Linked DNA regions of Macaca fascicularis. The protein of the gene in region 2 interacts with the protein of the main gene of each other region in a pairwise test. Links are inferred from orthologs where the notes say so. Each region holds a gene or a part of one and is shown on either strand. Other genes may lie near its edges.

Evidence for each region.
Region 1: the proteins of CREB3 (region 2) and FAM3C interact in a two-hybrid assay, tested with the Homo sapiens proteins (2 studies listed by BioGRID and IntAct). The two-hybrid records come from large-scale screens. The link is inferred for Macaca fascicularis from reciprocal best matches to the Homo sapiens genes CREB3 and FAM3C.

Annotation. Positions count from the first base shown.
Region 1 is NC_088377.1:162,974,915-162,978,571, forward strand, and holds part of FAM3C (protein FAM3C), read right to left. Parts: intron 2,234-3,657; coding exon 2,175-2,233; intron 1,024-2,174; coding exon 973-1,023; intron 1-972. UniProt on the Homo sapiens protein: May be involved in retinal laminar formation. Promotes epithelial to mesenchymal transition.
Region 2 is NC_088389.1:63,665,566-63,669,322, forward strand, and holds the start of CREB3 (cyclic AMP-responsive element-binding protein 3), read right to left. Parts: upstream 2,489-3,757; 5' UTR 2,289-2,488; coding exon 2,160-2,288; intron 2,067-2,159; coding exon 1,916-2,066; intron 1,845-1,915; coding exon 1,777-1,844; intron 1,663-1,776; coding exon 1,573-1,662; intron 1-1,572. UniProt on the Homo sapiens protein: Endoplasmic reticulum (ER)-bound sequence-specific transcription factor that directly binds DNA and activates transcription. Plays a role in the unfolded protein response (UPR), promoting cell survival versus ER stress-induced apoptotic cell death.

The DNA of each region.
Region 1 (3,657 bases), on a different chromosome or scaffold from region 2:
GCCTCCCAAAGTGCTGGGATTACAGGCGTGAGTTACCGCATCCGGCTACATGGATCTTATTACAAGCTGAAGATATGTTAGAAAAGCTAAATTATCTGAGAACTCTTAACATGAATTTCAGGAAGCCTAATAGCTGTTGGCTTCTAGGGAATATATAAAAGGAATGGGGAGGTGCTGAGGAGATCCTCATACTGATAAATCTCCCAAATTACAGAATCGAAAGATAAACCAGTGTTGGCCTCCCTTCAAACTTGAGAGAAAAAACCCATCCTTCTGGGCAGCGTTCTTCTTTGGGGTGCCAGTCCCTTGCCTCTACATGCTGGTAACTTCTTCCCACTCCTTGTGGGACTTCCAAATATGGAAAGGGAAAATATCTGTGGATTGCTTTACATCCAGTTAACAAGAAAGAAAATTCTATTTCTTCCCTCAAATATTCATCTACCTAAAAAATTAGCCACAAGTCAGAGGGTAGAACTGTGATGAATAATAGGATTGCTTTTCTAAAACTGATAGTTTATCATGTCTTTCTAATGCTCCTAGTTATGATATTTTTAAGACTGAAAAATCACATGTAAAAAAATCAATTTCCATCACTTAGGAATGCTTACATTGGTTATTCTGGTTTTTGTTTTTTTTTTTTTTTTTTAATTTTAGACAGAAACCTAAAGGAGCCCCAAACTTTTGAATTGGTTGTCCTGTAGAAAACAAGATGAAATTTTTTTTTAAATCTCAATTTTGATATTACTGTCTTCAATTACATACCACAAAAATTTTCTTCTAAGAAGAACAAAGTATATAAAACATGAATGATAACTTAAATACAGCCGGACATTTAGTGAACAGAAAGTAAGGGAAACAAAATGAACTAACACAAATAGCATCATCATTCTCTCATTAATGGACTACATTGTATTGAGGTGATTAAGTCAGTGCCAGCAAAAGAACACAGAGTCATATGTTATTTACACTTACCTCCTCCCCACATGTCAAAATATTTAGTGTCTAATACTTCTCCTGTTTTTCCTAAAAGAGATTAAATTCATATCAAATTATGCATCTGAAATACATCATACACTGTAAAACCAATAATCTTATCCAATGATTGATGTGAATTCACTAGCAGAGAAGGAATTACTTTGAGAACAACTTAAAATCTGAATCATACACACCTGAAATATATTTTTAAAGAGTAATTTTTTAATACAACTTTCTCATTAATCTTTTAAGCCAAAGGATAAATAGAAGTTTATTACTGACTGTGGACCATTCCAATTCAGTTAGATATATGTCATCCTTGTTTCCATATTCTGTTAGTTTAAAAGTAAATCTTTTACAGAAAAGAAGTATCTCCTTGAATCAGATGCCATTTTCTACATTAAATCAGTTTTTACAATAAAATTTACATTAACTTGCTCTATAAAATGTATTTTTTGCTATTAATGAAATAGACAAATAGATGCTGAACCTTTTACCTAAGGAAATGAAGAAAGTAGAAACATAAAAATTTACCTCTTGTTGTGAAAGTAGTAAAACATATTTTTCTACTCTATGAAACTACAGTGGTTTCTAACCATCCTATATATCTTATAACCATCCTACACAGCTTTATGGAATACTTATTGTACCAGAACAGAGAAGATCAATATGCAGTTAGGCTTTACTTCATGGTTTCAGGTTTTCAGATTTGATTTTGAAGGAAAATTTGAGATGTTCAGGATGCAATGAACTTATTCATACTAATTAAGCTATCAGAAGAATGTGGCCGACAATGAAAAATTACAATAAATTCTTATTCTTTGTTCCTTCGCCTACACCATTTAACAGTCCACTATCCTTTGTCATTTTACACACCTTTAATCCTGTCAACCTATCTTCCTATTATGTTAGGATTGCAAAATGCGAAGCAAGATTTTATCAATGTGATGTGATGTTAGACTGCTTGTTTTATGACAATCTCATGGGAAGTTCTTGCATAGCAAGTTAGGATACTTTCAAGCAACACACTATAAATTCTTAGACACCAAGTCTCCACCTATAGATTTTTTTGTGGGGCAGGGATGGGAGAGAGGGCTTTATCATCAAGAGCAGCACTTTCTAACCTGATCCTCTGATACTGCATTTTACTTCGGGACAGAAAAATGATTACATCCATAGGCTAAAATAATTGTTCTTACCGTTTGCCAAGGCAACATTGATCCCTCTTCCAACATTATTCTTAACACCACTCATTAAACTGAAGGGGGAGAAATTGAAATAAATTTAGAATTAAATATTGTACAATGACATATCAGAAAAATAAAGTCTTGCAAAAAAGGTTAGGAATATTATACACATTTTCAATTGTTCAGTGCTGCAGAGGAAATTAAAAAGATCTCTACTAACTCAGAGAAGACAGTCTAATACTGAATAATTTTAAGGCAATGTCCTTAAATAATATTTCACAAATAGAAATATATATTAAACAATATTAGGCCTGAAATAATAGACCATTTTTGTGCTGCACTGCTTCAGATTACTCTTAAAACGTACATTAAGCACATATTCTGCCCCATTCTTCAGGTATCAAACAAAAGATAATCTCCTTTCTGCTCTCTTCAATACCAGCGTGACATGAAACAGAAGTGAGATACTACCCCCATCTTTTAAAATCTAAAAGCTAACAGAGTGAGGGAGCACTCTTTCCTGAATGTTTTACCTAATTGTGAACATTCTCCTAGTGATTATCACCGTAAAGTTCCTCCACACTAAGAAGAAATATTGCACTCATGAAATTACGGCATTGAATAACAGTCACTTACATGGTGACTACCTGAGATAATTGACTTCCACGGGCAGCTCTGACCACTAGATAAAGACAATGACACTGTAAAATGTAAGGTACCGGTGACACATTTGCTGGTTATCAGTTCAGTTTGTTCAATTGCTCAAATCAGAGTTATTAAACTAAAATTGTGAGTTCTTTTAACTCAAAACTTCAAGGTAATAGTAATACTCCCAGTGGTGTGCTGTTAAATATTTAACAACTGGTCTGTGTTTAGGAGAGAGAGGCAATATGCAAAATGTGACAACACGTGCACACACATGTCCATATATTGACAGAATCATATACACACATAGGCACATAATTTATTATAAATTACTGATATGAAGGATGTATAGTGCACAATTTCACAAATAAAATCTACAATGTACTTTATTATAAATCTCAGTCAATTGATTCTCACAGAATGTTTTAGTTGATTTTTCAAACAACTCACATCAGCAGCTAAATTATGGTTGCAATTGATGAATGAGCTCAGTTCTAACAAATGTTGGATCTATGCTAATGGGTAAGATAAAATAAAGAAAAACAAATAATGAAGATTCATGTTAAAATTCCACTTGCCTGTCAATGATGACTGAATCAGATAATAAGTTTTCAAATACTGGAAGACTACTTCCTATATTTTTGGTGCTATCCACCATTTAACAGATATAGATATGACATATTTTCCAATTTAATCTGCATAATATTTTCTCCCTCACTTGAAGACCTAAAGTCTAGAACTTGAGTCTGCAAACTTTTTCTGTAAAGAGAGAAAGCACTAAAGAAGCTATATGGAGACACACTCAAAAATACTATAAATAAATCAAAAGAAACACTTTTTTAAATGTTCA
Region 2 (3,757 bases):
ACTGAGATCCATCTCTTTCCAATACAGAAATCCCTTCTACAGCTTCCCTGACCAATAGGCATTCACATTCTTTCTGAATGCCTCCACGGAGCACGTGTTAACCCTAACAAGCCAGACCATTTTAAACTATTAAAAAAAAAAATTGGTCAGGCAATATTCAAGTGACATGGCTCATGCCTGTAATCCCAACACTTTGGGGAGCTAAGGCAGGAGGACCGCTTGAGCCCAGGAGTTTGAGACCAGCCTGAGCAACACAGTGAGACCTTGTCTCTACTAAAAATAAATTAGCCGGGTGTGGTGGCACATGCCTGTGGTCCCTGCTCCTCAGGAGGCTGAGGAAGGACAATCGCTTGAGCCTGAGAGGTCAAAGCTGTAGTGAGCCATGATCTCACCACTATTCTCCAACCTGGGCAGTAAAGCAAGAATCTGTCTTCAAACAAAAACTTCCTTATCCTGAACCAACAGCTGTCTCCTTATAATTTCTATACGTTGGACTTACCTAGTATCTCTGGGGCCAAATAGAATGAACCCTGTTAAGCTATTTTCAGGCATTTGACATTTCCTCAGAGAAAAAAAGTTCAAGAAAAAAACAGCTTAGACAAAAATTTTAACTCATCTTCTTAGGATAGACTGCATCTTCTTAGTATCTGTCAAAGATGTGCTCTAGCCAGTATAAAGGAAAGCAAGATAGTGACTTGTGGAGACAATAACTCTTGCTACAGTTTCCAAATCCCATTAACTTTCCTAGTAGCCACATCGCACTGCTGACTCATCTTGTACTTTGAAGGAATTAAAATTCTTTACTTTTGGAGGCCAAGGTGGGTAGATCACTTGAGCACAGGCGTTCAAGACCAGCCTGGCAACAAGGCAAAACCCCATCTCTACTAAAAACACCAAAAAAAAAATTTGCCGGGCAGGGTGGTGTGCACCTGTAGTCTCAGCTACTCAGGAGGCTGAGGTGGGAGAATCACCTAAGCCCAGAAATTCAAGGCTGCAGTGTGCCATGATCACATCACTGCACTCCAGCCTGTGCAACAGAACAAGACCTTGTCAAAAAAAAAAAAAAAAATTCCTGGAACCTTTCTATTAATGAGCACTGATTTCATCATAGTATCCCAGTACTCTGCTTGTGAAGTTGCCACTGATTGCTTAAAACTGGAAACTAAGGATTTTGCATTTATTCATGTACTGCTTAGTCCAATCGTGTTGAACTCTCTAAACAGTTCTACCATTCAGCAAGAGGTGGATTACTATGAAGCCAATGAAGTGTCAAGGCCCTTCACTTACACAGTCCTTTCCAAGGCCCAATACTAATGTTGCACTGATAATTTTGAGGGTTTTTTTTTGTTTGTTTTTTAACAGAACACCAAAATTTGTGTAAGCCCAACGAAAATGAGGATCTGCCTTGCATCTAGCATATTGGGTACCTGCCTCAACTTCCTATTAGCAATAAATCTGCTAAGTTTCTCACCTCAATCCTTTTTTAAAGTTATTGATATAAAGTTAACAGAATTGGCCTACTTGAGACTTTTAATCCCTTTTCAGCCTTTGCTCAACTAACGAGAGTCTTACCTTAGTGAGAGGAAGTGTCTCAGGCAGAATAAGCCCCTCCTTCTCCAATAGACTCTTCTCCTCATCTGTCAGTACCAGCCTAACAATATCCTAGGGTAACCAGAAAGTGGGCGGCAGTTGCATGGGGATGTCACAGAGGAATGGGGAATCCTGCCCCCACCTGAGGAATGTGAGAGTAATCTTCCTGAAAATCAAGTCAAGTACCTGCTCTGCCAGCTCCTCCATATGCTGTGGAGTCATCTGGGTCCCCTCTTTTCTACAGCTCTCACTCTCTGCAAAAGGGAACGTATGAATAGCCAGGCCCATGAACCCTGTCCTCCCCGCAAACTTATTTCAGACTCACCTAGATCCATAGAGACAGGTTCTCGTGGGAGGGAGTAGGTGTGGTCATGGTGGACAAGGCAGGGGTTGGAGTTGCTGAGAACGTTCAACGACGACGCTGGGGGACTCAGCAGGGAGCTCAGCAAATCATCTACCTCCCAGTCGCTCGGTACCTGCGCAGGGTTCCAGTGAACAGGCCTTGACCTATCACCATCCCCTGACCTCATGGACATCCCACGCTTTCCCCAGTCAGAACCCCAACGCACCTCAGAAAGCGGCAGCTCCCAGTCCAGTGGGGCCCTCACGGACTCATCGGGCGCCGTCCTCAAATCTCCACTTTCCTCTAGCAGGAAGCCCAGTAGGTCTTGGTCACCAGCGTCCAATTCCAGCTCCATTTGGGACAACTACGGAAAGGGTGGGCTACCGGGCCCCAACGTCCGAAGCCCAGACACGAGCCCCAGGCCAGCTGTAGGCCTCGGGCACCTATCCACTGTCCCTCTACGGCCGGGCTTCCCGGCCGGGGGCTTTCCGTAGCCCTCTCCGGACCCGCCTCCCAGGCTCAATTCTCCTCAGCCTCCAACGCAGCGAAAGTGACGCACCCCACCCCGTGGCACTGTGGGACTTGGAGTTCCCTCCAACTGAGAAGAGGCCTGGGTGCCGCGCCACGTCCCAGGGGCTATGCAAATGTAGGGGACGGCCCTGCTGCCGCCTCGCACCCCGAGGGCGGGGGTTCCAGGGCTCCGGCTCCGCCTTCTCCCCCAAGCTAGAAAAAGGAAGAGTTCTGGCCTGAAAGGGAACTCGGGCGTCGTCTTGGCGTTCTCTCCGGATTGCGCCGCACCCTCGCTTCCTGCCAGGGAGGGGCTGCCGGCCTTTGGCGGCCCCCGAGCATCGAGAACGCGGCCAGAGCAGCTTCCTGCCTGCCCCCCGCGACCATAGAGCGCTGCCCCAGGGCGCCGCCCGCGGGTGGGGGACGTTCCCAGGACGGAAGTGGCCGAGAGAGTGTCGAAGGGAGGGCGAGGCCGGAGCCCGAGGGCGACCCGAGAAGCGGCAGGGCAGCGGGCCGGCGGGCCGGCAGGCGGGGCGCAGAGCCGGGCAGCGCAGGTAGGCCAGACCGGGCCGGGCGGGGGCCTTAGGGTGGGGCCGCGGAGCCTGGCCCCGGGGGCGGGCGGGGCCCTGCCTCTCCTGCGTGTCCGGTTCGGGTTCTGTTAGTTGGAGAGGTCAGCGTCCAGCGCATCTCAACTTGGGCTCATCGTGAAGTAGGCCGTCTTAGGGGAGACAGGCCTCTCCTGGGGGCAGTCCTCTGCCTGGGATAGGCTTTGGGGAGCGTGAGGAGTCGGGTGGCAGCGGGGCGCAGGACGGGGACGGGCTTTGGTGTTAGCTGATAGCGGCCATGTGGGTAGGAAAGCTTTGGGTGAGTTGGGGATTAGGTGGGGTCCGTTTAGGAATCAAGGGTCGCTATAGGAGTTAAAAGCTGGGGTTAAAACTTAAGAGTTAGTAGTGTGAGTCAGGTCCGTTTTAGGTAGGTAAGGTTTAGATTAAGGTCATTATTTTGTTTGCTGGGATGGCCATCATACGTCATAATTTGAGTTCAGGGTCGGGTTAAGGGTCAACAACAGGAATCAGGTTAGAGCCTGTTTGAGGGATTAAAGAATGTTGACATGGTCGGTATTAAGGATAAACAGTGAAAGTGTGAGTTAGGAATCAAGTTACAAATGAACTTTAGGCTTAGGGGTCAACATTTAGGGTTAACATCAGGCGATTTGGTGCTAAAGGTAAAACTTAGATCAGTATCAGGGATCAGGGATTGGATATGAGTCTCTGCTGGGAAAGGGATGAATGTCCAAGCCGGTAGTGGGAATCAGGA